Linked DNA regions of Canis lupus familiaris. The protein of the gene in region 1 interacts with the protein of each later gene in a biochemical or structural test. Links are inferred from orthologs where the notes say so. Each region holds a gene or a part of one and is shown in the gene's direction. Other genes may lie near its edges.

Region 1 (16,335 bases):
TTGGATGACAGGCTGCTTGGATGTTGGATGTAAACTTTGGAGATGAGGAAGAAAGAGCAGATACCATCTGCTAGGACCTAAAAAACATGACAAATGAAAAGTGGGGAAGAAAATGATTAAGTGAATTAAACATACTGCAGTTTAATTTAGCCAGAGGTAGTGAGCACTAGCTATAGGTAAGGCACTGTACCAGGTGCTCTGGGATGTAAATGATTATGGCTCAGGCCCTGCCCTTTAGAAACTTATAATTCATTATTGGAGAAAATATACCATACTCAAGTAACTATTGTACAGGATAGATTATGCTATAGAGACCCTCTTAAAACACAAATCAGACCATATCATTCCTCCACACAGCACTCCTCTTTGACTTTCCGTCCCATGCAGAGTTTGTTCATTCTTTTTTAAAATTGAAATATAATTCTCATACCATAAAATTCATCCTTCTAAGTGCACATATCAGTGTTTTTTAGTATATCTACAAGGTTGTGTAACCGTCATTAATATCTAATTCTAGAACACTTTCCATCAACACAGAAAGAAACCTTGTATCCATTAGCAGTAGCTTGCCAGTTGCCTTCCTTCCCCATCTCTGGCAACTCTTAATCTGTTTTCTGCCTCTGGATTTGCTTCTTGTGGACATTCTGTATAAACAGAATCATATAATATGATATGGTGGTCTGTTCTATCAGGCTTATTTCACTTAGCATGTTTTCAAGGCTTATCTGTGTTGTAATATGTATTGGTATTTTATTCATTTCCATCCAGAATTCCTACAGTGCTCTGAGTTCATGCACAACTGGGTATGCCCATCTCATCTACTGTTAGTTTCCTCCTTGCTCACTGTGCTCCCGCCCTATAATTTCCAGATATATCAAGTACACTCTGTCATCAGGATTTATGCTTTTACTTTGTTAAAATGCTCTCCCCCGCCAAATAGTCACATGGCTTGCCGTCTAACCTTTTCTTTTTTCTTTTCAAAGATTTTATTTATTTATTCATGAGACACACACACACACACAGAGGCAGAGACACAGGCAGAGAGAGAAGCAGGTTCCATGCCGGAAGCCCGACATGGGATTTGATCTTCGGTCTCCAGGATCAGGCCCTGGGCCGAAGGTGGCACTAAACCGCTGAGCCACCCCGGCTGCCCCTAGCTTTTCATTTCATTGTTCGTATGTCTCATTCTCAGTGAGGTCTTTCTTGTCAACTCTGTTTAAAAATGGCACTCCTTCTGTCCTTATTCCTAGAACCCTTTTGTCTTTTCCTGCCTTATTTCTCTCCCTTGCATTCATTAGACTTGTGTAGTCTGAGCTGTGCTTTAAACATGCATAACGTGCAGAATTGAGTAGGTACGATGAGCATGAGAGAGTCTAGTTGAGAGGAGTTGAGATTGTGGGTTAGGATAGTCATAATCAAAATGAAAAAGAAAGTGTATTCATTTAACATTATTAAGCATTTTTTATATACCAGATGTGATACTAGTACTAAAAAATATAAGGGTAAATGAAATACAATTCTTTCCTGGAAAAGTTTACCACCTAGTGTAGTGTAGTGGAAAATCACCTGAAGAGCTTTTTTAAAATTCACAAACTTGGATCCCCTGTTGTTAGGGGCTTATCAGAATCTCAGTGAGAGTAAGGGAGGATTGTATAATTTGGAAGACCTTTTTACAGTGATGGAAATGTATCTGGTAGTTACTGAGCACATGACTAGTGCAACTGAGAAACTGAATTTTTAATTTTTTTTAAATAACTATATATGACTAGTGGCTACTGTATTGGACAGCACACATCTACTGACAGACAGATACACGTAAGAAATTATAGCACGATGGGAGGTATGTCTGGACTATGGAACACAGATTCTCTGTCTTATCTATTTCACTGGTCCATGTTACAACTCACATGTGAATAGGTACTGGGATTTAGAAATGAATTATGAAGAGGTTGAAGATAAAGATAAAAATTTTATAGTGTTAGAGGCTTACATGATGTCATTGACACAGGGGGAAGAAATAAAAATTGTGTGATTCTTGACCCATTTTCATTGCATTCCAGGTTGCAGTCTGTAACTTGGCTTCCCTGGCCCTGAATATGTATGTTACATCAGAACACACATACGATTTTAAGAAGCTGGCTGAAGTCACCAAAGTCATTGTCCGAAACTTGAATAAAATTATTGATATTAACTATTACCCTGTCCCAGAGGTATGAATAGAGGTCTTTGCTTCTTGGTAATTATTGAAATTAAGTTGGAGGGAGTTTATAATGGTCTGCCAGTCATCATTTAAATGGCTATCATTGGAATGATGTGAGAAAACAGATAAAAAGAGAACATGTTATTATTTGGTATAGATTGTTGCCTCTCCTGTTCAATAATGTCTCCTTCTTTAAATCTCCTGGCACAAAGGCATGCTTATCAAATAAACGCCATCGCCCCATTGGAATTGGGGTACAAGGTCTGGCAGATGCTTTTATTCTGATGAGGTATCCTTTTGAGAGTCCAGAAGCCCAGCTACTGAATAAGCAAATCTTTGAAACCATTTATTATGGAGCCTTGGAGGCCAGCTGTGACCTGGCCAAGGAGCATGGGCCATATGAAACCTATGAAGGTTCTCCAGTCAGCAGAGGAGTAAGTATATGGATGAAATTTCTTTTTGCCTGTGAGTTCCTATAGTTGGCTGAATGGTAGTCTTCAAAAAGATATTCGCATCCTAATCTCTGGAACCTATGAATGTTACTTTTTTGGATTTAAAAAGGGTCTTTGCAGATGTAATTAAGGATTTTGAAGTGAGATTATCCTGGATTACCCCAGTGGGCCATAAATCCAGTGACAGTAGTCCTTGTGAGAGACAGAAGAGGAGGAGGCAACATGACCATGGAGGCAGAGGTGGGAGTAATGCATCTAGAACCCAAGAATGCCAGTAGCCACTAGAACTGAAAGAGCCAAAGAACAGAATCTCCTCTAGAGCCTGTGGAGGGAGTGTGGCCCTGCCAACATGTTCATTTTGGGCTTCTGGCTTCCAGAACTATGAGAGAATAAATTTTAGTTATTTTAAGCTGCCAAATTTATGGTGATTTGTTATACCAGCCATAAGAAACTAATATGGTACTTTTGCTCTCTAGAGTAAAAAGGATACTCTATTTTAATGTTTTTTTTTAAGATTTTATTTTATTGTATTATTTATTTTTAGATTTATTTATTTATTTGAGAGAGAAAGAGAGAACAAGCTGAGGGAAGAGCCAGAGAGAGAGGGAGAAGCAAACTCCCTTCTGAGCAGAGAGCCCCATGTGGGGCTCGATTCCAGGACCCCAGGATCATGACCTGAGCCAAAGGCAGATGCTTAACTGACTGAGCCACCCAGTTGCCCCAAGATTATATTTTTAAGTAATCTCTACACCTAACATGGAGCTTGAACTTACAACTCTGAGATCAAGAGTTGCATGCTTCACCCACTGAGCCAGCCAGACACTCCTTTATTTTAATGTTTTATTTAGAACTAGTCATTGGTAAAAGTGACTTAAGAAGAATACTAACTGTATTAGTTTTCTTTTGCTAAATTTAGTTAGATTAAAACAACATACATTATCTCTATTCCCTTGAGTCAAGGATGCAAGCTTGCCTAGCTGGGTTTTCTTAGGGTCTCACAAGGTTATACTAAAGCTGTTGATAGGACTATGGTCTCCTCTTGAGATCAGAGTCCTTTTTGAAGCTCATCTGGTTGTTGACAGAATTCATTTGTACTTGTAGAACCCATGACATTGTGCTTCTTCAAAGCCAGTAGGAGGGAGAATCTCTCATTTCAGGAAGGCCCCAGCCCAATTGCTCTTCTGAGGGTTTTCATCTGATATGTGAGGTCTACCCAGGATAATCTTTCTTTTCTTTAATCAAAATTAATTGATAAGTAACGTTAATTACACTTGCATAAACTTTTCACCTTTGCCATAATTATGTGAGTGACATCCACCACATTCCCAGTTCTTGTCCACACTCAGGAGGACATTGTACATGTCCTGGCACCAGGGAGTCAAAACTTGGAAACTGTCTTAGAATCTGCTTCCCACACTGCCTTCATTATTGGTAGTATGAGTCTCTTCAGTGTAAAATAAAATATTATGTTATTTTTAGTCCTGGTGTTCCTGCTGATATTTAGGAAATCTGATAACTAGTAGTTTGAAAACAGGTATTTAATAACTAAATAAATCAATCAAGGCAACTAAGAAAGATGGAATTTTTACTGTACAAAAAGAGAATGCATCTCAACAACATACTTACATGAATATTGGGATTTCCTGATTTGTAGATATAATACGGATCTTCTGAGGGCTCACAGCAGGGATTTGGGGAAAAGCTAAGGCTTTACCAGTTTTCTTAGCCTGCTTTTGATCAATATGACTGCATGAAAGTTTGTCCAGGGAAATCTTTGGACCTTTGGACAGTTCTACTAGAAGACATTTGTTGGGTTGTGGGGCATGGCAGATAGTCATTTGGTTTTTGTTATGGTTTCAAATTGTTATAGAGTGATTTATCATAAATTTGCATTGTTTGTTCTCTAGATCCTTCAGTATGATATGTGGAATGTTACTCCCACAGAACTATGGGACTGGAAACTTCTCAAGGAAAAGATTGCAAAGTAAGCAAAGAGATGTAAGGTAGCTTTGAAGTAAGGAGGGTTGGTTCTCATTCTGGCTTTCAGAAATTAGGCATGTTATTTAAACTTCTGAAACTCATTTTTTCTCTTTCAAATGGGGCTAAAATGACCTATCTACAGAACTATTTTTTTTATAAATTTATTTTTTATTGGTGTTCAATTTGCCAACATATAGAATAACATGCAGTGCTCATCCCGTCAAGTGCCCCCCTCAGTGCCCGCCACCCAGTCACCCCCACCCCCCACCCACCTCCCCTTCCACCACCCCTAGTTCGTTTCCCAGAGTTAGGAGTCTTTCATGTTCTGTCTCCCTTTCTGATATTTCCCACTCATTTTTTCTCCTTTCCCCTTTATTCCCTTTCACTATTTTTTATATTCCCCAAATGAATGAGACCATATAATGTTTGTCCTTCTCTGATTGACTTATTTCACTCAGCATAATACCCTCCAATTCCATCCATGTCGAAGCAAATGGTAGGTATTTGTTGTTTCTAATGACTGAGTAATATTCCATTGTATACATAGACCACGTCTTACAGGACTATTTCTGTAAAAATACTTTGTAAGATAAATGTATGAACAGTAACCTACAAATTGCTTGGTACAATGAAAGCATTTTTAAAAAAATATTTTATTTAAATTCAATTTGCCAACAAACAGTGTAACACCCAGTGCTCATCATCAAGTGCCCTCCTAGTTCCCCCATCCGCCCACCCTCATAAATGGTAGGTACTATTGTTAGCTGGTTATGTTTTAGGGGTTTAACTACCTGGATGAAGCAATTCTTTTTCTCATTAAACTTTCATATTTCCAAGTGTGCTTGCTTTTTATATGTTTTTCACTTTTATTTGTTGCTTAACTCTACTGGGCTCCTAAATGACTTTTGCTGAATTGATTGTCCTAGGAGTAAGTTAAGGATTTTGGAAGAGCTTTTGGAGTTTAATGTATTAAATTGTGTGGTAGAAAAATGTAAATCTTGAGGTTGTTAAGGCTTTTCAAATTAATAAACATAAAAGGTTTAAAGGTGGGAAAATGTTTTGCTTAGTGAATAATAAAACAAATTGTTTTTACTTTCTTCATGAGCCTATCCTCTCTGGGTTAATGCATATCCAAAGTGATGTGTACAGGAGGAAGCAGTTGCTTTTTGTCTTAAATTTGTTTATTTGCCTTTAAATTGTTTTATTACTAGGAAAAAAATGTTTTAAACTAGGAAAATGTATGTGTGAAAGGGAGAAAAATGAAAATTATCCCAGTACGACCTCCTCCTAAAAACCTGTTTATATCTTTGTCTTTCATTTTTCAGAATTTCTTCTGAATGTGTATATTTACATACAAATTCAACTTTTACAAAAAGACCTGTATTTTATTTTTTTTTCCAAATACTGTATAGATATTTTTCTATACATAACTTTTTAGCATTTCACAATTAATACATGAATAACAAAGTTCAAATATGGAAATAAAACAGAAGGTGAAAGTTCTTTTTAATCCTCTTGTGCCAACTACTTGTTCTACAAAACATAAGCCAACTTATTCCTTTTCCTAGAAATAAACATTTTCTAGACCTTTTTCAGTACATTTAGAGATGCACAGTTTTGTTTTAAAACTGTGATCAAACTTGACATATTCTAAGACTTTTAGTGATTTATTTTGGCCATCTTTTCTTCCTAGTACATGCAGATCTACCTAATGCTTTTAATGGTTACAGAGCATTCCATAGTTTGGTATGTCCTGTATAGATGACTTTTCAAAACATTTTCCTTTCTTTGGACAGGAAATCACTGTCCATTTTACTGAGGAAGAAAGACATGAAGTGAGTTGATCGTTTGCTTGATGCCTCAAAACTAGAAAGTGAGAAAGTGAGATTAAGATCTCAGTTGTATAGATTCCATTAGGATATGAAGCTTTAAGCTAAGTACTGTATAAATCCAGAGGTATAGAATATAAGAAAGATAAACTCTATGTTTGAGAAACTTAAGACTAAGTAAGGGTAAGACATGAAGTATAGGTAAAGTATATATATAAAGGTACAGGTCATAGAAAATGTTTGCAGGAGAAATATTTATAACTAGTACTTATTTTTAATATTGTCTACCTGGTCAGGAAGATGTTCCTAGAGTGGTCATCTCTTAGGCTGAGCTTTGAAGGATGAGCTAAGAGCAGTTTGAAGATTTCTCAGTGTTCAGATAGTATATTCTTCCCTAAGCACGTTCTTTGTCAGTGAGTAGAGTCAAAAGATGTTAACCTTCCTCTCTAGGAACTTATGATTGAAGAAGTAATAGAAGTCAGGAATATACTTTGAGCATAATTTTTCCCTTTGGAGAATTTTGGTGACATGTCCGATTCTGACCACTTTCACATCATTATGTTTCCTGAAAGGGCTTAGCACAGTGATCAAATGAGCACTTAGAAAACAATGAGGATTGAATGAATGTACCCTGATTAGGACTCTTCAACAGCCATTTGGTTATTTCCTTGGGGAAGCTAGTGTATCAAGTGCTAATAAGTCATAGTGTGATAAGAATCGCCAGCAGTAAAATTGTGCTAATTTTGTTTAGGAGTTTAGGAGAGGGGTGAGCTATATCATCCATACTGTGAAGTTGCGTCTCTATAGCGGTTAAATTCAAGTCATTATGTGAGTCTAATGCATGTATTATGTCACTCACAGCATCTGCATTTACCCCAGTGACTTAACTAGCTACCTTCCTGGCAGATTATAGCTTTAGTACCAACACCTAATAATCTCCTTTTCTTTAGGTATGGTGTAAGAAACAGTTTACTTATTGCCCCAATGCCTACTGCTTCAACTGCTCAGATTCTGGGAAATAATGAGTCCATTGAACCTTATACCAGCAACATCTATACTCGAAGAGTCTTATCAGGAGAATTTCAGGTGAGAAGATTACGACTGGACCTACAGGAGATCTTGCAAAAGCGTGATGTTAGGAGTAAATGCCAACTCATGTTTGGTATGTCTCTTTTGCTTAGTATGGGTGCAAAGCTTTGATACAGTGAGTCATCTTCATCTCCAATATTATTCTGTGTTATTTGATAATAGACATTCAATAAATATCTGTGAAAAGAATAAATGATTGAAGGTTGGGTAGAAAAGTAACTTCTTGATATTAGAGTTCACATATTTAACCATTATGTAATCATAATTATATGCACTGTAACTTCAGATGTTTAAGTCGATAATAACTCAAGATGTATATAGAAGCAAAAAGTATATGGAACCATGACAATTGTTTTCAGCCTTGTTTACAAATTAGAATTTCTGGTGGATAGGACCAGTGTTTTTTAATGTTCCCAGATAATTCTAATGTGCAACTAGGGTTAAGAACTACTAATTTAAAAGATTTTTATTTGTGAATTTCCAGATCTGAAATAAATTTCTTTAAGTTTGGAGTGGATACATTACTAATTTTTCTTAACTATTTATTGTATCCTTACTTGGGGGAGGGGGAATTAATCCCCATAGATTTACCCATTTTAGGCAATGCTAGTTCTTTTTACTTTTGCAAATATTATGTTTCTTGAATTACAGATCAAGATTTTAAAGGAATATAACTTTTGATTGGTAGGATGGGCCTCTCAGTCTTACAAGATAGAGAATTTACCGACTAATCTAATGTTAAATACTTCTTCAGTGATCTTATTTACTTTAAGCTCCAAGCCTGTGATCCTATTTAGGCCCTGTCATTCTTATTTATTCCTTGACATCTTGGTTTTTTATTCAGATTGTGAATCCTCACTTACTAAAGGATCTTACTGAGCGGGGCTTGTGGAATGAAGAGATGAAAAATCAGATTATTGCATGCAATGGTTCTATCCAGGTACAGAATGAAAATCATGTGTGTTCTTTAGAAGCTACATTGGTACCTTCTCACTTATCCCATGCAGTAGAGAGAAAGGTTATTCACTGTGGTCATTTAGGCTATGTTCACCTTTGCATTGTTGTGCTAGGATTATATACATCTTCACATAGCTAGGCTTTTACTGTCTTGTTTGTGCAATAATATAAAGCGTAGTTTCCAACTTCTCTGTACTTTAGAATCAGTGGGAGCTTTAAAAATTTTGAAGCTTAGGTTGTACTCCCAAACAAGTAAATTAGAATGTCTGGAAATGGGAGCCAGGCATTACTATTTTTTAAAGATGCCCTAGGTCATTCCAAAATGCATCAAAGTTTGGGGGACCACTGATATAAAGTGTGAAATTAGAAAGTTAAACTTAATTAAAAAGCAAAAGTGGAGACTGAAGACTCAAAGTCCGAAAAACAGAGCCACAGATATTGTTTAACAATAGAATATTTGCAGCAGAGAATCAAGAAGTATTTATATGTAGATGGAGCCCTCTGTCTAAACATTTGTTTCCTTGGCAAAACAGAGAAGGATTTCTCTAACATTTCTATATTTGCTGACAGAAATTGTAGCATTAGCTAGTTTGTATGTTTTGATGGCATATTAACCCTAGACCTAAGAAAACATTATTTCTATTGACTCCGAAACAGGTTCGTTTCATTGCTTCCATTGATTTTCTACTTGTGAGTTACAGTCCTGATTACTTGTGTTTTCTTTAAAACTCAAGGATCATTTGTTGCTGCTTAGCTCCATCTTTTATTAAGTACCTCTAAAACAATGAATGTTTTGACTATAATCCAAATAGAAATGGATCTTAAATCATTACCACCAGCCAGATACTTTGTTGGTTAAATGAGGTTTTGTTGGTCATTCCAAGGCAGAGGTGAGCAGTCTTGGGAAACTTGATAAGGATCATATTATATGATACTGAATGGTATGGTCAGATCTGGCAGGAAGAATTAAGGCCAGACCCTTGTGTCGTTAATTATGTTAATTATACTGATTTCTTCAGCCAGACTGTGATAAACATTTGGTTTTCCTTCTTCAGAGCATTCCAGAAATCCCTGATGACCTGAAGCAACTTTATAAGACTGTGTGGGAAATTTCCCAGAAAATCGTTCTTAAGATGGCAGCTGAAAGAGGCGCTTTCATTGATCAAAGCCAGTCTTTGAACATCCACATTGCTGAGCCTAACTATGGCAAACTCACCAGTATGCACTTCTATGGCTGGAAGCAGGTTGGTAGAGGAAATCAAGGAGGACTTGTTGCCTGCTTGGGATATTTTGGAATTGGAACAATACAAATTCCAAATACAATTTTGTATTCTAGCTACTTAATATTGCCATCTAGCAGTTCTTCCACTTCAAATCCAGTATGTTAAAACCAAATCATGGTTTTTGTACCAGATCAGGGGCTCACTTTGGATATCCTTGTTTCTTTTGGGATTATTTCATTCTTAGGTTTGAAACCTTGGAGTTACCTACACTTCTCCCCTTATTCTCCATACAATTACTCACTAAGTTGTGGTGGTTGTTCCTTTCTACTATTTCTTGAATATCTTTCTTCCTGTTCCATTGCCATTATTCTTAATTTCTTAACTGATCTCCCTGTTTCTGGTATCTGCTCCAGGCTGTCTTGTGCACTGCTATCATTTCTAAAGTAAAACTTTATGCCTATCAACCCACTATTCAAAAACATCCATTGTTTCCCCACTTTAACTATCTACAGTATAAATGCCAGTTACCTACCTTGGCATTGCCAGCTGTAAAGTCCTATAATCCTGTATTCTATCCTTTTTTACCTGGCAGTCTGCTGGGTATTTATATAGATGTATATATATTTTTTTAATTTAAGAGACATTTATTGAATACATCCTGTGTACTAAGACTGAGGATACCAAATAGAAGATATGATGATCTTTATCCTTGAAATAGTCATCATCTGTTCTTTATAGAGACGCAGTCTAGCTCCCTAAATAGTTAAAAAGCAGACATGTTGTCATAGGCAAACTTGGAAGTCATACACATAATACAAAACCTAGAGAACAAAAATATTTGACATTTCCAAAGAGGTAAGCTTTTTTAGGGATAAAAGGAATGTAATATACTGTCTCTTTTTTTTTTCTTTTTTAAGGAAGAGTGGACTTTTAAAAAAGTTTAAATTCAATTAATTAACATATAGTATACTATTAATTTCAGAGATAAAGATCAGTGATTCATCACTCTTATATAATACCCAGCACTCATTACATCATATGCCCTCCATCATCTAGTAACCCTATCCTCTCACCCGCCTCCTCTCTGGCAAACCTCAGTTTGTTTCCTGTGATGAAGAGTCTCTTATGGTTTGTTTCCTTTTCTGATTTCATCTTGTTATATTTTTCCCTCCTTTCTTCTATGATCCTCTGTGCTGTTTCTTAAATTCCACATATATGAGTCAGGTCATATAATTGTCTTTCTCTGATTAATTTATTTCACTTAGCATAATGCACTCTAGTTCCATCCATGTTGTTGCAAATGGCAGGATTTCATATTTTTTTGATGGCTGAGTACTATTCCAGTGTGTGTGTGTGTGTGTGTGTGTGTGTGTGTGTGTGTATCCATTCATCTGTTGATGGACATATGGGCTTTTTCATAATTTGGCTATTGTGGACATTGCTGCTATAAACATTGCCGTGCAGGTGCCCCTTCAGATCACTCCATTTGTATCTTTAGGGAAAATACCTAGTAGTGCAATTGCTGGGTTGTAGGGTAGCTCTTTTCAACTTTTTGAGTAACTTCCATACTATTTCCAGAGTGACTGCACAAGCTGGCATTCCCACCAAAAGTATAAGAAGGCTCCTCTTTCTCCTCATCCTTGCTAAAATCTGTTGTTTCCTGATTTGTTAATTTTAGCCATTTTGACCAGTGTGAAGTGGTATATAATATAGCCTTTTATCTGAGAAGACATTTACAAATATCTTCTTTCATTCTATTAGTTGTCTTTTGGTTTTGTTGACTGTTTTCTTTGCTGTGCAAAAGCTTTTTATCTTGATGAAGTCTCAATAGTTCATTTTTGCCTTTGTTTTCCTTGCCTTTGGAATACTGTTTGACTCTTCCTTTAAGCATTTTTGAGAAGGCTTCCTAGAGGAGTTGGAATTTCAAGTTTAGAAAACATTCTGACGTGGTTTATGGAAATGTATTTTAAACATTGGTCTTGAATGTCTAGTGTTCTTACAATTTTTTTTGTTTTGTATTCTTACAATTTCTGATAGTTGTATTTGCTTCCTTGTAGGGTTTGAAGACTGGGATGTATTACTTAAGGACACGACCAGCAGCAAATCCAATCCAGTTCACTCTAAATAAGGAGAAGCTGAAAGATAAGGAGAAGGCAACAAAAGAAGAAGAAGAGAAGGAAAGGAACACAGCAGCCATGGTGTGCTCTTTGGAGAATAGAGAGGAGTGTCTGATGTGTGGGTCCTGAGGAAAGGCTTAGAAGAGACCAGCACTTCTTCACAGACAAACTACTTCTTGAGCATAGATAGGCATTGTAGGTTTGTTTGAAGTGCTAAGGCTTTGCTGGATCTCATTGCAGCAAAAGGATCAGTCAATTTAAAGTACTGTTTCTATATAGTGTGAAAGTATTGATTTTAAAAATTGGTATTTTGGGAATCAAAGTAGAAGTTTTAGGAGTGCAAAACAAGTCACCTTGCAAATAAGGAATGATTGAGTAGGGTTTCATTGCCCACCTGGCACCCCTTTTCTGGTGACCTCAGTTTTCATAAGGAGACATGGTTTTGCTGCTTTGACTGGTGAGTCCATAGACGCAAAACTGAGTCCTAACCTGTGAGAAGTGCTGATAGGACCTTTCTCTGGATAAGGTCCTATAGGTCATTCTGAAATAAACATTTCTAAGTGATTGTGTGAGACCAAATTTGTCATTTATTTTCATACAAAGGTCAAATTTGGAAAAAAAAATTTCTGTTCTTTGAGAGTTCAGGGAAGAAATTTAAAAAAAAATTACTTAGATTCTGTGTTGAATTCTGATCTTAACATATGCCTATTTCCTCTTTTTATTGTGGTAAAATATACTTAACATAAATGTTACTGTTTTACCCACTTTAAAAAGCATACAATTTAGTGCCACTGAGTACATATATAATATACAACTATACCACTACTACCTATTTCCAGAAATTTTTTATCATCCCAAACATAAACTAAAGCAGTAATTCCTCATCTCCTTCTCTTAATCCCTGGTAACCTCTGTTTTACTTTGTCTTTGAAGTTACTTATTCTAGGTATCTCATATAAATGGGATACTATAATATGTGACCTTTTGTGTCTGGCTTTCTTCACAAAGCATGTTTTCATGGTTCATGTAGCATATAGCAGAATTTAATTCCTCTTAAAGGCTGAGTAATATTCCACTGTATGTCACATTTGTCTACCCATTCATTTGTTAATGGACATTGGGGTTATTCCCACCTTTTGGTGATTGTGAATACTGCTGCTATGAACATTGATGCATAAGTATCTATTTGGATTACTGTTTTCAATTTTGAGGGGTTTGTACCTAGAAGTGGAATTGTGGGACTATATAATTCTATGTTTAACTTTTTGAGGAACTGCCAGACTTTTCTATTGGAGCTGCACCATTTGGCATTCCTACCAGTTGTGCATGGGAGTTCCAGTTACTCCACATCTTTGCCAACACTTGCTAGTTTTTTGTATTTTTTATAATAGCCAACTAATGGCTTTTGACAGTTTGATTTTTATGTATCTTGGTGTGGATCCCTGAGTTTATCCACCTTGATCGTTGGACTACTTGGATCAGTAGCTTCACACCTTTCATTAAATTTGGGACGTTTTTAGCCATTATTTCTTCAGATAATCTTTTTGCCCCTTTCTCTTTCTTTTCGTTCTGGGACTTCCATAATGTACCTTTTGTTCCACTGCTTGTTTCCCACAGTCTCTTAGAGTTCATTCACTTTTCTTGATTCTTTTTCTGTTCCTTAGACTCAGTAATTCCAACTGTCCTATAATCATGGTCATTGATTCTTCTTCATGCTCACATCTTTTGAGCCCCTTTAGTGAAGTTTTTATCTCGTCATTTTCAGCTCTAAAATTCCTGTTTGTTTCCCTTGAACAGTTCCTATCAGAATATCTATAAATATTCTGATTTTAATACATTGTTTTTCTGATTCCCTTTATTTGTTTGTCCATGTTTTCCTTTGGCTCTTTTTTTTTTTTTTTTTTTTTTTTGGAAGTTTACTCTTTTATTTTTATTTTTGTTGTTGTTGGTGTTCAATTTGTCAACATATAGAATAACATCCAGTGCTCATCCCATCAAGTGCCCCCCTCAGTGCCTGTCACCCAGTCACCCCAACCCCCCGCCCACCTCTCTTTCCACTACCCCTTGTTCGTTTCCCAGAGTTAGGAGTCTCTCATGTTCTGTCTCCCTCTCTGATATTTCCCACTCATTTTCTCTCCTTTCCCCTTTATTCCTTTTCACTATTTTTTATATTCCCCAAATGAATGAGACCATATAATGTTTGTCCTTCTCCGATTGACTTATTTCACTCAGCATAATACCCTCCAGTTCTATCCACTTGATCACCTTTTCCACAGTATATCACATCGCTCCAGTACATTGATGACATGTTGATTGGGCCTACTGCTGATTGGACCTAAGAAGTAACAACTACTCTAGACTTACTGGTAAAATAATTGTGTGTCAGAAAGTGGACAATAAATCTGACAAAAATTCAGGGGCCTTCTATCTCAGTGAAATTTCTAGGAGTCCAATGGTATAAGACATGTTGAGATATTCCTTCTTTGGTGGAAGATAAATTGTTGCATCTGGCTCCTCTTAAAACCAAAAGATAGGCACAATGCCTAGTGGGCCTCTTTGGATTTTGGAGGCAGCATGGCAACATGTTCCTCATTTGGGTGTGCTACTCTGGCTTAACCAAATGACCCGAAAAGCTATTAGTTTTGAGTGGGACCAGAAACAGAGAAGACTGGAACAGGCCTAGGCTGCCATGCAAGCTGCTCTGCCACTTGGGCTATACGATCTAGCATGTCTAGGGGGCTGAAGTGGCAGTTGCGATAAGGGATGCTATTTGGAGCCTCTGCAGCCTCTTAGGATTTTTTTTTTTTTAAGATTTTATTTATTGATTCATGAGAGACACAGAGACAGGCAGAGACTCAGGCAGAGGGAGAAGCAGGCTCCCTGTGGTGAGCGTGATGTGGGACTCTATCCCAGGACTCCGGGATCATGACTTGAGCTAAAGGCAGATGCTCAACCATGGAGCCACCTAGGTGCCCTGGGCTCTTAGGATTTTGAGCAAAGCCCTGCCATCCTCTGTTGATAACTACACACTTTTTGAGAAATATCTTTTGGCTTGCTGCTCAGCCTTCATAGAGACTGAATGCTTAACCATGGGCCACTATGCAACCTGATCTGCCCATCATGAACTGGGTGCTATTTGACTCACCAAGCCATAAAGTTAGGCATGCACAGCAGTATTCCATCATCAAATGATACACACACTGAAGTGGTATATACAAGAAGCCCTGGAAGTACAAGTAAGTTATTGAAGTGGCCCCAAATGCCCATGGTCCTCACTCCCACTAAACCTCTCCCAGCCTGCACCTGTGGCTTCATGGGGAGCTTCCTATGATCAGTAAACAGAAGAAGAGAAAACTAGGGCTGCTGGTTTACACATGGTTCTGCTTAGTATGCAGGCATCATAGGCTATCAAACTTGATAGCCCTTTTTTGGGAAGTTCCAGAAGGATATTCTATTCTATTGACAGAGTTGTGGAAGTCTTAAATAGGAAGTAACTTTTAGATAGCTCACACTGGCTATCATAAGAAGAGTGGCCTAACCTATGGGTTTGGTACCATATTGATCTAGTTTGGTCTTTGGATCAGACTGGGTCCCAGAAGACCTGGTCTGAGTGTCAGACTGGCCCTAGCCAGCACCTGAACTGTTTCTGTAGGCTAGTTGGATACTTGGGGTTGGCCTGACCTGTGTGCCTGTGTCAGATTGGGGATATCAGGGCTGGGGCCTCACCCGTGTTTGGGACGAATTTGGTTCTGGAAGCCAACCCATGTGCTTGGGTTAGACTATAAACTGCAAGGCTGACCTGTATATTTGGTTAGACTGGGCTTGGGCTGTATTTGGGAGAGACTGGGCCCCAGGGAAGGGCCTGGCTTGTTTGTTCCAGACTGGATGTTCAGAGTGGTTCATGGTCTGTATGATTTGCTTTGACTTCCAGTGGGGTTCTATACATCCAGATATTAATGGGGCTTTCTTAGGGGGAAGGGGAGAACGAAACTAAGGAGAAAGATAAATAGGTAATGAGGCGCTTGGGTGGCTCAGTTGGTTAAGCTTCTGACTCTTGATTTCAGCCCAGGTCATGATCTCAGATCTCAATATAATTGAGCTCCACATTGGGCTCAGTGTGTAATCTGTTTGCGATTCTCTCCCTCTACCCATCCCCCTGTGCTTTCTCTTCCCCCACTTCTTTAAAATAAAAATGTAAAAAAATCTATCAAAAGTTAAGAAAGATAGGGGCACCTGGGTTGCTCAGTTGGTTAAGCATCTGCCTTCAGCTCCAGTCATGATTTCAGGGCCCTCAGATCGAGCCCCATGTTGGACTCCCTGCTCAGCTGGGAGATCTGCTTCTTTCTCTCCCTCTGCCTTTGTGCTCATGCTCTCTTTCTCTCTCTCTCTCAAATAAATAAAATCTTAAAAAAATAAATTTTATTATTGGAATGGAAATTAAACTAGCACTCTAAAAATTTAAAAAGCAGTAATTGGCCAACAGTGGAC
Region 2 (15,261 bases), on another chromosome or scaffold:
AATGAACAACTCCGGAAATAACTGATGTTGGTGAAGATGTGGAGGAAGGGGAGCCCTCTTACACTGTTAGTAGGAGTGCAAACTCATGCAGCCACTCTGGAAAACAGTATGGAAGTTCCTCAAAAAGTTAAAAATAGAATTATCCTATGACCCAGCAATTGCACTACCAGGTATTCATCCAAAAGATAAGTGACTAAAAGTGGTACATTCACCCCAATGTTTAGAGCAATGTCCACAATAGCCAATCTATGGAAAGAGCCCAGATGTCCATTGACATGTGAATGGATAGAGAAGATGTGGTAGGGGCACCTGCATGGCTCAGTCAGTTAAGTGTCTGCCTACGGCTCAGGTCCTGATCTGGGGTCCTGGGATTGAGCCCCAGGTCAGGCACCCTGCGTGGGGGAGGGGAGTCTGCTTCTCTCTCTCCCTCTAACCCCCTCCCCCATACACACACATCTGCTAGTGCTCTTGCTCTCTCAAATGAATAAATAAAAATCTTAAAAAAGAAAAAGATGTGGTGGTATATACCTACGATGGAATATTACTCAGCCATGAAAAAGAATGAAACGTTGCCATTCACAGTGATGTGGATGGAGCTAGAGGGTATCATGCCAAGCAATACTGGTCAGTTAGAAAAAGGCAAATACCATGATTTCACTCATATGTGGTATTTCAGAAACAAAACAGATGAACATAGGGGAAGGGAAGGAAAAAGTAAGAGGATAATTGAGAGGGAGGTAAACCATAAGAGACTCTTAACTCCAGGAAATAAACAGAGTGGCTGGGGTGGAGGTGAGTAGGAGGACGGGGTTAGGGGTGATGGGCTTTCAGGAGGGCAGGAGTGAGTGCTGGGTGTTCTGTGCAACTGATGAACACTCAATCCTACCTCTAAAATGAAATAAGAAGTTGGGGCAGAAAAATTCTAGCTGTGCGGTTGGAGCTGTGTGACCTTGGGCAGTCTCCTTGCCTCCTTGGCCTTCCTTTCTTCACCTGAAAAGGCCTGAAAGCCCCCCACACGGTTGTCTGGGTTACAAGCCCGAAGCACCTGGCTCAGGTGCCCAGGGGCTGCGGGGTGGCTGTCGCCAGGAGGGTTAACAGGCGGTCCCTGGCAGGTGTCTGGGGGAGTGAGCAGTGGCTTTGAGAAAGCCGCTTGAGCTCCCGGCCCGGGCCTCTGCCTGTGGGGGGTGGATGGGGAAGTGACCCCTTAGGGGCCACCTCGCCCTGCCCGCTGGAGGGAGGAGGATGGGTAAAGGCGCAACCGCGAGGGGCGGGGCGGCGGGAGCGCGGGCCCGGAAGTGGGGGGGGGCGGGGCTGGGCGCCGAGGCCCCGCCCTCTGGAGGCTGGGGGCGGAGCCTCTCCCTCCCGCCGGCCAATCGTGGAGCAGATGTCAAAACGGGCGCCCAGAGGAAACGAAAAGGAACCGCAGACGCGCGGTGCCTGGTGCTGGCGCGTGGCGGCCGCGGCGCGCATCCCGTCGCGGCGCCCGGGTCCCCCGGTCTGGCCGTGCGCCCCCGTCTCTCTCCGGGCCGCAGGGCAGAGAGGAGGCACCGGGGGCCCGAAGCCCACCTCCGAGCGGGGCCACGTAGCTTTCGGCGCCCGCTTCCTCTTGGAAAGTCCGAGCAGCCGGAGCGCGGAGGAGGGAGCACGGGACGTGCCCCCGTGACTCACCGTCGGGAGGGCTGAAGGGGAGAATGGCGGCGACCTTTCTTTCTGCCTCGTGCTACCTACTTCTGGTCTTTCCCAGTTTTCTACAGTGCACCCGTGTTGTTTGGGGAGTCAGGAAAAAGTGAAGCTAAGAACGAAGTCAAATTCTGGCTGGCTCACAGAGTGATACTTTCATGGGTTCCTGTACATACAGAGTATATAACAGGAGCTAAGCAAAAAGCACATGGTGCCCGAGACAGCAACCGAAAGGAGCACTTCGGTTATGGATGATGCGAAATCGGAATGTGAGTTGGGTAGTGGAGGATACCAGGGCATCCTTGATACATTTATTAGATGTGATAATGGCTTTATCAGCCATAAAATCATCTCTAACAATACCCATTTTTCTGGAGCTGGATGCTGAAGGAAGGTGGCATTGACAATGCCTGCGAGTTGCTTTAAAACTAAGGATGCTAGACCAAAGTTTTAGTTACTGCTTTGTCTAAGGGCTAGGATCGTCACTGATCTTTCTCTGAGGCTTGAGAATACATTAAACACAGTATGTACGTGGTACTAAGAAATGGAAGAAACAGACCCAAGTGAGGAGGGGGATCTTCCCTACCTCTGACCTCTTTATAATATCTAGAAAAGACCCTGTAAAAAGTCCAGTGTTTCTCTTAGTGACAGCCCTAAGAGTGTTTGCAGATTTTGGAACTTTTCACAGGGGAATCATTTATTTCTTGGTTATTAACATTTCTTTCTCTTCACTTCTGGCATTTTGCCACTTGCACGGCAAATGTCTGGCAAATCTGAAAAACCAAATACAAAGTAAAACAAAAACTGTTAATGAATTCGTGTCTGCCTCATGACAATGCAGGTTTTCAATCTCTTCAGACTACTTGATGCCCAATAAGCAGTAGATGAATTCCCAGTTCTTCAAGCTTTCAAGATGTTTTTGCTCAGCTTCTGATTTTTAAAAATGCTGACACAGGGGAAGGTGGTCTGACACCAGGCACAAGTTCAGGGGCAAACTGTACCAAAGGCCCTCTCTGGCATTTAGTTAACTCGGCTTTACAAAGGACTGTGCATTTTTACCAGAATTATCGCACTGATCTCATTTTATTAATGATCCCACAGGTTAGGTCGGGCGACAAGTCCCATTTTACCAAGGAGGGCAAGGAATGTTTTACAACCAGGTGAGGGACACAGCAACTGCACTGCGGGACTCCGTGGCCAGCGACCCTAACCGTTAGGCAGCACGGTTGTCGCCGACCCTCCGGCCGCCAGGTCAGCCGGAACTCGAGGACCCCTAACCCCCCACCCAGAGACACGTACCTAAACGGTCGCAACCCCGCGCTCGTCTCTCGCAGCCAGGGGCGTTTCCAGGCATTTGCACCAACCTCATTTGCAAAACCACTCGCCTCAACCCGCGAAAACGGTTCAGGGGTGGGGGAATGGTCTCCCGCCCGCTCCCGGGCGGCCTCCAATCGCGTTGCTTCATTCAATCCCGAGCGGTTCCCGGGTAGGCGAGTCCCGCGCGCGCCACGGCCACCGAATCGCGCGGGGGCTGCACCCTTCGCCCGGGCGGGGGCCCGCAGGGGCCGGGCGGCGGCGCCCCTCGCGCGGTGGGCGGGCCCGGGGGTCCCGGGGGTCCCGGGGGTCCCCGAGGGGTCGCGCAGGGTCCGGGGCGGCCGGCGGCGGGGGCTCCCGCGCGGCTCTCGAATCGCGGACGTCCGGCGGCGCATCCAATGGGAAGGCGGCGCCTGGCCACGCCCACCGCGCGCGCCCCTCGGCGGTGGGCTTTTAAAGGCCGGCCCGGCGGCGCGGGGGCTCCCCGGACCTGCGCCGCCGCCGCCGCCGAGCCCGCCTGCCGCCGCCATGCTCTCCGTCCGCGTCCCGCTCGCCACCATCGCGGACCCCCAGCAGCAGCAGCAGCAGCTCCAGCTCTCGCCCCTCAAGGGGCTCAGCCTGGCGGACAAGGAGAACACGGTGAGCGCGCGCGCGGGCCCGGGGGCGGGGACCTGAGGGCTGGGGCTGCCCCTCACCGCGCGTCTCCCCGCAGCCCCCGGCCCTCAGCGGCACCCGCGTGCTGGCCAGCAAGACCGCCCGGAGGATCTTCCAGGAGCCCGCCGAGCCGGTGAGTGGCGGGGCGGCCGGCGGGGAAGCGGCCTGTGCGGGCGGGGCGCTGCCGGCAGGGGGCGCCCGCCGCCTGTTGGCGCCAAAGCCTCATTGTCTCCCCTGCGTTTCTAACCCAGCCACTCCCCGGCCCGCGCTCCTTTCCCGCCAAGGCATTCCCTCCCGCTCCTGTCTGCCCTTCCTCACACTTGCGCACACTCCCCCCTTTCCCCTCTTGCACCCCGGTTGTGTTCTCTGTACCATGCCGTGTGTGACAGCCGACACTTGACACGCCGAACCACACGGGATTGCCGGTAACTGAACGCGCTGGGCCGCAAAAAGTGGCGATTTCATGTGGTTCGCCCTACCAGAGACATTTCATTACTTTCTCACCCCCACAGAAAACTAAGGTACTTGCCCCCAGCGCGGAGGAGGAACCACTGCTGAGAGAAAACCCCCGTCGCTTTGTCATCTTCCCTATCGAGTACCATGATATTTGGCAGATGTATAAGAAAGCGGAGGCTTCCTTTTGGACAGCCGAAGAGGTAACCCGAGGCAGGAGCTGGGGCCCTACAAGGTTAAGTGTAGTAAGCGTTGCCCCCAGAGGAAGCCCCCTGCAGGAGTGGATGCAACTTGCTTGAAATATACTTAACTCTTCCTCTTGCCCCTCTTGGGGATGGTTGCCCACTGAGGATGTGAGACGTTCTAAGTGGCAAAGGGAGCTGAGCATGGGAGGGATGTTCCCGATCAAGTGGTGTCAGGACACTTAACAGAAGAAGGTCTAAGGGTTAGGTATGTGTGTGTACGGCCCCACATGCTTACCGTCCCTTGTGAACCTCTTAAACCTCAGGTGGATCTTTCCAAGGACATTCAGCACTGGGAATCCCTGAAGCCTGAGGAGAGATATTTTATATCCCATGTTCTGGCTTTCTTTGCAGCGAGCGATGGCATAGTAAATGAAAACTTGGTGAGTTTCCAAAAAAACATCTGCTTTCGTTCGCTTCCAGATTAAAGAAACGGGCCAAGTCATTCCAGAAAAAAACTAATCCTCTTTCCTCATCTTTTTAAGTTCTGTATTTGTAAGCTGGTAGTTCTATTACATGGTGTTTCCTGTTTTATAATCTACTTTGCAGTTGTTTCTTCTTTAGGGTTAGTCATTGTCCCCCCTCCGGGCTCAAGAAGCTTAAAGACAATGTCAAGTGGTAGGAATAGGTTTACTCCTTATGACTATGACATTGTTTCTTTTTTGTGGCTTTGCTTTTTTAAAAAAATTTGATTCCATATATGTCTTATTGTGAGTGGTTCCTTCCTGCAGTGGACTAGGAAGAAATGAAGAATGTTTGCATAATCCCTATAAAATAGACCTTATCTGTTTCCTGATCTGTAAATTGAGGTAAAATTTTGGCATAAAATGTCCAGCTTTACCCCAGAATAGTGAAAACGTATTGTTTCTAAAAATAGAAACAAACCTTATAATACTGCAAAGGGAGTGTGATGTATCCAGGATCCTGAGTGGATGTTCCTGGAGCTGAATTGTGATGTGTTTTACCACTAGGTGGAGCGGTTTAGCCAAGAAGTTCAGATTACGGAAGCCCGCTGTTTCTATGGCTTCCAAATTGCCATGGAAAACATCCACTCTGAGATGTATAGTCTCCTCATTGACACTTATATTAAAGATTCCAAAGAAAGGTGAGTATTTGGGTGGTCTGCCAACGTGTTCAGGATTCACTAATTGTTAAAATATTTCAACTTTTCGCGGTTACATAGGGGTAGAAGGATTCCAAGTGACTAGGCAGGCAGACAAGGCAGTTTCTACTGCCCCTCGTCCTGTGTGCTCTGAGGAAGAGGCCTAAACTCACTTTATTAGCCAGTCACTTAAAAACAAGTCATGAGGGACACCTGGATGGGTCAGTTGTTGAGCGTCTGCCATCAGCTCAGGACATGATCTGAGGTTTCCGGGATCGGGTCCTGTATTGGGCTCCCTGCATGGAGCCTGTTTCTCCCTCTGCCTGTGTTCTGCTGCATCTCTCTCTGTGTCTCCCATGAATAAATAAATAAAATCTTTTTTTTTTTTTTTAATAAAATCTTAAAAAAAAAAAGTCATGAGGTTACTCCATTTTTAGAGATGGGAGTATACTGTTGGTCATTGAATCCAGTGTCTTTCTTCCAAAACAAAACACATCCATAGAGGCTGTACGATGAAGGAAATCCTAGGTCTGACAGTTTTTACTCATGTGCAAATCTGTTAACCTCAAACGAGAAGCTGGGGCAAAGTGGAGGGGAATAGAGGACACATCCAAATAGAACGTTACTTTTCCTCTTAAAGACCTTGTAATGTGGTACAGAAAATAAGTTTAAGAGAGAGATTCTAGAGTGAAGCAAAGGCAGCAGTTTACTGATAGATGAGTTTAGGCACAGGACTGTGTGAGGAGATGGGTTTGCATTATGGGATCACAGAGGAGAAATCAAGGTAGCTTGAGGCCAGTTTTACATTTTCCAGATTGGAGAGGAGGAGAAAGTTAGAAATGGCCGTGTGAGTGGTCTAGATACCAAGGTCAACTTCAGGATGAGAGTCCTGCGTGGTACAGAAGTGATAGAGCTGTAAAGTAGGCTCTTGTGGCTTATCTGGAATAATGTGAAGGGGAAAAATGAGTGGTGGCTTGGAAGGGCTGGCAGGCTTCGGGAGACAAGTTTATAGACCGAAATGAGGAAGGATAAACGTAGGCCTGACTGAGATAAATAAACAGAATGGGCAGTAGGATCAGGAGGGTCTGGTGGTTCAAAAGCTAGGGAGAGGCAGACCCTGGTCTCAGGATGTCGACATGGAAAGAGAATGAAGAGAGCAATGTGGTTGCTCTAATGACCTTGGGTTCAGAAGACAAGGTCACCTGATAAAGGGACAGGCTGGGGAATCTAGACTCCCAAGCTGGGCACAGAAGGCGGAAGAGGATAATAAGGAAGAACTAGGCAAGTCGGGGGGACAGTTGATTTACTTTCCTGATCTGGGATCATCAGTGTAAGTATAGACTTATAAGTAGGAAGCAAGCTCAGATTATTCGGTTTATTGGCTTTAATTATTTTATTATATCCATATGGCATTTGGGGCCTATATAATTAGCCCGATATGATTAGTGAAGATGGTGCTACCTAGGAAGATAATGGTCAGCGTAGCTTAAATAGTCTTAGCAGTTAAGATTTTATGGCTTCTCAAGTTTAAAGATAGGGCCTGTGAACTTTGTCATGACCTGGACTTGATATAATAAAAGCCGATAAATGTTCTTGGTGTAATGGACTAAGACTTTTAAGGTTAGTAGATCTCAGGGCTCCTTGTGAAGTAAAGAATACCTATTTTGGTATTAACAGGAGCCAAATGAATGTTGGGATTTTAAAAAGAACACTTGGTGGGGGGTGGGAAGCAAAAAAGGTAATGAGAAAACATTTCAGTTTTGAGTCTCAATTTCGCCTTGGTCCCAGTGTTCTCTACATGTTTGTGGTAGGAAGTCTTTGCTGTAATTGCTGATATTCTGGGTGTCTCCTAGGGAATTTCTCTTCAACGCCATTGAGACGATGCCTTGTGTAAAGAAGAAGGCAGATTGGGCCTTGCGTTGGATTGGGGACAAAGAAGCTACCTATGGTAAGGCCACTTGGCCCCACGGATGCCTGAGTTTCATCCTCTAAGTGACATCATGGTTTGTTGGCCCTTCCTGTGCACATGTACGGTTGCTCACCGGAACCATGTCGGTGTTAACTCTTCACAGGAGAACGGGTTGTGGCCTTTGCTGCCGTGGAAGGAATCTTCTTTTCGGGTTCTTTTGCGTCAATATTCTGGCTCAAGAAACGGGGCCTGATGCCTGGCCTCACGTTTTCCAATGAACTTATTAGCAGAGATGAGGTGAGTCTAATTCAGGCTAATGTGCACCCCAAACATCTACAACTCTTTGGTTCACTGAAGGGAACTCGATAAAATGTTGCCTCATGTCCACATTGAACATGAATTCAGCCATATCTGGGCTTGGTAGAACATGAAATATATTGAAAGTACTTGTATTCTCAATACTCGTCCAGTCTCCTGTATGAGCCTACTGTGCTCCAAAGTTGGTCGATAAGCATCCTAAAGGAAGTGAGAATCCTTCTGGTCCAGTGTCCTGTCTTTGACTGCACTTGGATTAAGCTGGAGGGAAAGGCGAAGATGTCTAGATGCTCTCATTTGATTCTAGTTGGCAAAGCCAGAGCCACAGACCCTGTCATGCTTGGAGCCCAGTGACCAATAAGTTGATCTTGCTTTGTAAGTTCTTCCTTCTGATCTAGGAACATCAGGGTTACTTGGCACTAAGACTTGTAGACTCCATTCACTGGCAGTTGCATCACTGATTTCCTGACCATTAGGTTGTAAATCTCAAAACCAGCCAAGTCAATCTCAAAGCAGCCTAGTCACTGCTGGGAATAGTGGCAAAATGAGAGCTCACGGATGTAGAAAAAAATGCTTTGAGCTGAAGTCCTACCCTGTCCTGTGCTCCTGTATGGGGCAGCAGGGAACAGACTTGGCCTGCTGTCATTGCCCTGGGTAGCAGTGTTGAGGGCCTTGGGATAAGGCTGAACCTGCCGTGACCTACACAGAGCAGATGGCAGTTGAAATCCTTTTCCCTTTGACAGTTTTAAGTGCTTTTAGTATGTTCGCATGAGACATATGAGGAGAATGCAGAAAAGGGTAAAGCCATTTCCTGTTTCACGTTAACGATAGACGTCTGGTTTTATAGTGATCTTAAACCTTTTCTTCTAGGGTTTACACTGTGACTTTGCCTGCCTGATGTTCAAACACCTGGTCCACAAACCTTCAGAGCAGAGGGTGAAGGAAATAATTATCAATGCCGTTAGGATAGAACAGGTGGGTGATACAGGAGGGTCTCTTGTGCTCACCAGAAGAGGTCTTTATGCTTCTGTTCTATTGAGAAGCTGCGTTTCGATCCCTAGGAGTTCCTCACGGAGGCTTTGCCAGTGAAGCTCATTGGGATGAATTGCACGTTAATGAAGCAGTATATTGAATTCGTGGCAGACCGACTTATGCTGGAGCTCGGTTTTAGCAAGGTACAGTATTGTTTATAGCCTTCTGGTTCTCCTGAAACTGCTGTTCTGTATTTAAATTTTCCTGTGAACCTTTTCAGGTTTTCAGAGTAGAAAATCCATTTGACTTTATGGAGAATATTTCACTGGAAGGGAAGACTAACTTCTTTGAGAAGAGAGTAGGCGAGTATCAGAGGATGGGAGTGATGTCAAGTCCAACAGAGAATTCGTTTACCTTGGATGCTGACTTCTAAGTGAATGAAGATGTGCTCTTTGCTGATTTTTTTTTTTCCCTTTCTCATCAAAAAAAAAAAAAATCAGCTACTTGAAGTGTATCAAACCAGCTACACCATGAATCATCCATAACGTTCATTAATAGTATTGTTAAAACTGTGTAGCTACCTCATAAGCAAGCCTGTTGATCAGTTAATGCTAGTCGTCTCACCCAGAAAGAAGCATAGACAAAAAGCTACTCGGATTCTTAATGAAAGATATTGGCCGTGTTTGGCTTTTGCGGGCAGGCTGGCTGTCCACTGACTTCACAGTGGCTCTTGGTGGCAGTCAGGTCTCAAAAGTGTGGGGACTCAAGTGAGTCTGATCTAGCACGATTAATTAGTTAGTCTAAGGCCCTCGGGCGGTGTCAGCCTCTGTGCTTCAAAGCAGATTTTTAAGTTTACGTACCGATTTTTATATAAAACTGGCACTTTACACACAAATAAACATAGTTTGTACTGTTGAAATAAAGGCTTGATTTAACTTAATCTGGTTTCTAGCCCAAATGCAGAGCATTCTATTGACCACTAATGGGAGCCAGTTTGCAATTTACTAGGTAACCAAAAAGTCCATCAAACCTGTGTGAATCAAGCATGTTATTTCTGTTTATTTTCTATAATGAATTGATGTTCTCTTTAATCAACTTTAAAGTCAATCCTTCATATACCTAGGTATTAGCCACTTGGTGCCATGAAGAAACGCAGGTTGTGTTTTATATTTTGGAGGCCAGGTCAAGTATTGTGGATAAGAGGGGAAAGGAGGTTCCAATTAAATCATTAGAGCTTGAAGTGTGATGTAGGCTGACTGCTGGTCGCCTGGGGGTGTGCGAGGATCAGCATCCTTTTATTTCTCAAACCACATTTTCCCCCACCTTGAGTTCTTATAGAAAGAAGATCCTTAGATCCTTAGCTGTAGGGTCTGAGATAATATTGTAAATTGATTTTGAAATCAATCCTTGCACGAATTGACCCGCTTAGGATCTTGCTCCAATTAAGTGGCACAACCAGAACTGAAATTGGCTCCCCGGAAAGTTGAGCATTTTCTCTGATTTGGTCTAATTTGTAAGTAGGTAATGTTGACCTAATCCATTTGTGTCTACTACATGTTTTTTCAATTAGATATTTCTTCTGTTTTTTTGTTCTTTTATATCTGGTTCATATTTTGAAATAATTGCTCAGTTAGTGCAGTTCATGATTGGAGCAGATAGTCTTCAGGGCACTTACTTCCAGCTTTTGCCTCAATCTGAGCATTACCTTGTTGGATTCCTGACCTGCAGTAGAAAACTAGAGTTGCATGAGCTATATTAATACAGGTTCTGTTCACACAGTAATTTTAGAAAGAAGTATAAAATAATATACTTAATAGGATTAGTTTGAATCAACCTGTCTTTGTGTTACCCCTGCTTTCTCCCTCCCCATCAAAAAAAAAAAAAAAGAAAAAAAAACAAAAAACCCAGCCAGGAGGTTACGAGAAGGTGGTGGATGATACGCACTGATCCTTTGGCCACATTTGTTAACCTGTCTTTTTGTGTTGGGTGATCACTGACCTGTTTTTTTGTCAGTTTTCTTCATTTATTGTATAAATTGTCAAATAGTCAATTTAAAAATTTCTGTAACGGTGGCTGTCTTTTAAATTATTGTTACCTGAAGTGAATCTAGATAATGTGGTTCTTACCCTTGTGCAACACAAAGGTGAATAAACGTTTTTGCCTCGCGTGTCGGGTGCAGACGGAAGTCGGAAGCAGATTTTCAGATCCTGCCTCCCTTTGGTGCGTAACGTGAGGATTAATTTTTGCCAACTCCGATTCCGTTTCCTAAGCCGTTTAGAGGGAAGCAGGTTTTAGTCAAGCGTTTCAAAGTCTCAAAATTGAATACTGCACTGGGATTAAATGAGCTGTTCTTATGTCCGTTCCTTGATAAATTAATTCGCATTTCAGTTTAGGAAGAAAAATACTTTTCCTGAAGATTTGAGTTTATTTGCTTTTCATCCATTTTGAGGAGGGGACTTCTGATCCCTGTTCTGGCATAAGGTCTATAGGAGAAGGGGTGCCTGAGAGGTGATGGTCAAAAGCATTCCCTATGCTGCCCACGGAGTCTGTAAGTCAGGATAGAGGGGGCTTAAATTCCCAACATCCGTGGGTGAGCTGCTGCTCGGCCTCAGTTTTCCTATCTTGTTACATGATGTGGGTGGGTCTTCCTCGCTTTGCTCTTCCTCACCAAATTGAGCTGCGTGGACTTCTTGGTGGGCTGGGATTAGTCCCTCTGTCTATGAATGGCTTTTCCTGGCCTACCTTCCTAAAGCCTTTCTGAACTCATGACCTTGTCTATCCTGCCACTTGAAATCTGCAGGTATGTGTGTGACCACAGCTGCCCCATCAGGCACTGTTCTGAAGCATAGGAGAGGTGGCAGGGAACCTAGCCAGCCCTCTGCAGCTTAGGTTCCCAAGGAGGAAGCTGAGGTGTGAGTGACTCGGTTAGACCATGAGCCAGGGCAGGGAAGGCATAGCCGAGAACTTGAGGTGGATGGGAGCATTAGGAGAAGCTTGTGTTGGGGGGTGATCTTGTTTCTCTGTGGAGGAGGAGGAGGGAGGTGGGGACTGGTCCTCCAGATTCTCTTCCTGGTCTTCCTGCCAAGGCTCCTGTAGAAGGCACATTCAGGTCCTTACCTGTGTCTTAGCATAAAGGCTCCTAGGATTGGGCCCTGGTGAATGAGAAATTAATTTGAGCTGAGTATTTTGGGGTGGGTGAGGTCTTGGGAGCAGGTGTGTTCTGTGTCTTGGACGAACCTGAGATTGTTGCCTTCATACCCCAAGGGCACTCTAATGTCATTGGATGTGTAAGATCAGGGTGGTGGCAGGCCCAATGGGGTGTTCTGGGCAGCCATGCTCTCAGGATCAACTTAAAACAGCTTCCCTGTGGGCCACCTGTGCCAGCTGCCCACTCTAGAACACACTTCTCATACTTCACCTAGAGGACCTGCATCAGTTAAGTGGTTAGGCCACGGAGTCAGAATTGTCTGCTCGCCGTGGCCTGTGATCTGAGCTGATGACCGGCTTCTTGTGGAGCTGGAACTGGATGGGTATTAAGGCCATCTGGCTAGGTTGCTGACTGGCTGTTTATGTGTGCCATTGAGGATGAAGAGCTCTGCCACCATTGGCCTGGAGATCCTAATAGTGGTTTAATTCTGCATAGCAATATGGTTGCAGCTCCCCGGGGAACTGCTTTGGCTTTTGAGAGAGTAGGATTGTATGGCTTGGCCTGTTGGACCCAGAGAAGGCTGATAGCATACCCCACACCCCATCATCTCTCTCCCCCCGACTCTGCTTCTGTAGAGGAGGCTACCTCCCTGGTGTACTCTGGGCACTTGAGAGTGTGATCCGTGATGGCCCTTGTTCCCTGCAGGGGATCCTCACATCAGGATGTTTTCTGATGAGTGGCTAAACCCACTGTGGATGTAAGGTTCAGGGACCACAGACCCCTTGGCCTGCCTCTAAGTACTGGTGGTTCCAGCAAGAGAGCAAACTGAGGTGACCTGGACACCCACCCCCAGTTTTAAAAACTTGGCCAGTCATCATAAAAGTTAAGTGGGTAATGATTTCCTAAGAAAGGGCAATTTTCTGATGCCGGGAACAGACCGGGACTGGGAAAACAGGCTCATTGCAGCTCTGGGAGGGTAGTTCTTCCTCCCTTAGAGAAATTGGGGGGTGAGGGACCAAACACCTATTGGATCTGGAGGGGAGAGATTGACCTCTATTAGTGGAGGAGCTAGAGCCAGAACCTGCTATCAAGCCAGGACCCCTAGTGAAGTGGGGCTAGGAGATAATCCCATGGGGTAGGGGTAGGGGGGATAAACGTATTCGTTTTCCTGGACTCCAAAGTCACAACCCCAGGCCTGTACCACTCACAAGTTTGTGGTCTAGAAACATATGTCAGCCCAACCTGGGTGCATGTGATTCTCACAGATGGTGTTCATCCTTGCCAATTTTAAAACACAGGAGGAAACCACATGATTGTAGGAACCACAGGTATGAAAATCCAGAAACTGGCACCTGGGTGGCTCAGTTGGTTAAGGGTCCAACTCCTGATTTTGGCTCAGGTCATGATCTCCGGGGTCCTGAGAGCGAGCCCCTGGTTGGGCTCTGTGCTCAATGGAGAGTGCTTGAGAGTCTCTCCCTCTGGCCCTCCTACCCACACCCTCTTTCTAAAAATAAATATTTTTAAAAATCCAGAAACTTAAAATTAAGATGATACATGATGATATAATGGGTTCAGGGGGGAAAAATGAAAACCCAAAGAACAATATTCTAAAGAAATGGGATGATTTTTTAAAAACTTGCTACAGTTTTTGGAATATAGCAAAATTACTGGAATTAAAGGTCTTGGAGTTTAAAAAAAGAAAGATGCTTAGTAAGAGGAGACACAGCTGAGGGTGTATTGATGGGAAGGGACCTGAGGGATTACTGAGAAGTAGATGGGAGGGAGATGTGGATGATGGAAGGGGGGGGCGCATGTTATTTTTAAACAAAGTGTTCCTGAGGGACTGGATAGCTAATATTTAAAGAGATGATGACTGATGATTTTCTAGAAGTGACTCAATCAAAAAGTGCAAGGAATCCCAATGAAAATAAATCCAGGGCAGCCTGGGTGGCTCAGCGGTTTAGCGCTGCCTTCAGGTGTGATCCTGGAGACCCAGGATCATCGAGTCCCATGTCGGGTTCCCTGCGTGGAACCTGCTTCTCCCCCAAAAAAAAAAGAACCTGCTTCTCCCTCTGCCTGTGTCTCTGCCCCTCTGTGTCTCTCATGAATAAATAAAGTCTTAAAAATATCCATATCTAGGCCCATTTATAGTGAATCTGCAGAGTATATGGACAAATGTCATTAAAGTTTACAGGAATGGTAGATCTATAAAGGAGTAATTATTAAGCAAAATTTTCAACAGCACTGCAGTTGAAGCCAAAAGGTTATGGGACCAAATCTTTAAGTGCTGAGAAAATAAACTTATTTGAAAGTAAGAGAGACTTCAGACAAAGTTCATTCATACCCCTTCTTCAAAAGAATGACTAAAGAATACACTTTACAGAGAAAATTGAACCAAAAGAAAGGATGGCAGTGAGTGAAGAAAGGTCAGCGGGTAGTGAATCTAAGTACTGATAAAATCAAGTGGACCCAGAACACTAGACGATATAGCAGGTCCCTGTGCTGTAAATAAGAGCAGGCCAGGGATCCCTGGGTGGCGCAGCGGTTTGGTGCCTGCCTTTGGCCCGGGGCACGATCCTGGAGACCCGGGATTGAATCCCACGTCGGGCTCCCGGTGCATGGAGCCTGCTTCTCCCTCTGCCTGTGTCTCTGCCTCTCTCTCTCTCTCTGTGACTATCATAAATAAATAAAAAATTAAAAAAAAAAAAAAAAGAGCAGGCCAGCAGGCTCAACACCAGATAACGTGAAGTCTACAGTTCTTTTTTTTTTTTTTTAAAGAATTTTATTTTTTTTATTTATTTATGATAGTCACAGAGAGAGAGAGAGAGAGAGGGGCGCAGAGACATAGGCAGAGGGAGAAGCAGGCTCCATGCACCAGGAGCCTGATGTGGGATTCGATCCCGGGTCTCCAGGATCGCGCCCTGGGCCAAAGGCAGGCGCCAAACCGCTGTGCCACCCAGGGATCCCCGAGTCTACAGTTCTTACAAGAACACACCAGAGCGTGTCACTTTCAAAGCGGTGGCAGAGTGAAAAGGTGATCGGTCTAATAGAAAAAAAAAAGGCAAGAGAAGTCAATGGAAAGCTTGGTAGATCAATAAGACCAATTCATGTGAGTAGACCAGTTAAAATCACAGAAACTCAAGATTTGATGAAAAGAACTCTAGCTAGAAGCTGTTTCTGAACGTTACGTAATGCAAAGGGGTGGGAAGGATGAGGGAAAGCCCTGGGCTACCCTGTGTCATAAGAAAAAAAGGACTTTAAGGCAGAAAGGCTTACTGGAGAAAGTCTGATGCGGGGACTCCATCCCAGGACCCCGGGGTCATGCCCTGAGCCCAAGGCAGACACTCAACTGCTGCTGAGCCACCCAGGTGTCCCAAATCTAATCCTCTTTAGTAACTTTTTTTTTTAACTTCTCTAGTTGCATTGTCCCTGTGTTTGCTTTTATGCCAATTTTAGAGAGTCCTCTGAGTTT

The links.
Region 2: the proteins of RRM1 (region 1) and RRM2 form a complex in vitro, tested with the Homo sapiens proteins (3 studies listed by BioGRID and IntAct). The link is inferred for Canis lupus familiaris from reciprocal best matches to the Homo sapiens genes RRM1 and RRM2.

Annotation. Positions count from the first base shown.
Region 1 is NC_049242.1:26,737,410-26,753,744, forward strand, and holds the end of RRM1 (ribonucleoside-diphosphate reductase large subunit), read left to right. Parts: intron 1-2,060; coding exon 2,061-2,210; intron 2,211-2,412; coding exon 2,413-2,634; intron 2,635-4,559; coding exon 4,560-4,636; intron 4,637-7,411; coding exon 7,412-7,547; intron 7,548-8,394; coding exon 8,395-8,490; intron 8,491-9,562; coding exon 9,563-9,751; intron 9,752-11,787; coding exon 11,788-11,976; 3' UTR 11,977-12,421; downstream 12,422-16,335. UniProt on the Homo sapiens protein: Provides the precursors necessary for DNA synthesis. Catalyzes the biosynthesis of deoxyribonucleotides from the corresponding ribonucleotides.
Region 2 is NC_049238.1:7,109,041-7,124,301, forward strand, and holds RRM2 (ribonucleoside-diphosphate reductase subunit M2), read left to right. Parts: upstream 1-3,474; 5' UTR 3,475-3,522; coding exon 3,523-3,633; intron 3,634-3,706; coding exon 3,707-3,781; intron 3,782-4,160; coding exon 4,161-4,304; intron 4,305-4,609; coding exon 4,610-4,726; intron 4,727-5,314; coding exon 5,315-5,448; intron 5,449-7,298; coding exon 7,299-7,393; intron 7,394-7,517; coding exon 7,518-7,651; intron 7,652-8,539; coding exon 8,540-8,644; intron 8,645-8,730; coding exon 8,731-8,844; intron 8,845-8,921; coding exon 8,922-9,074; 3' UTR 9,075-10,826; downstream 10,827-15,261. UniProt on the Homo sapiens protein: Provides the precursors necessary for DNA synthesis. Catalyzes the biosynthesis of deoxyribonucleotides from the corresponding ribonucleotides. Inhibits Wnt signaling.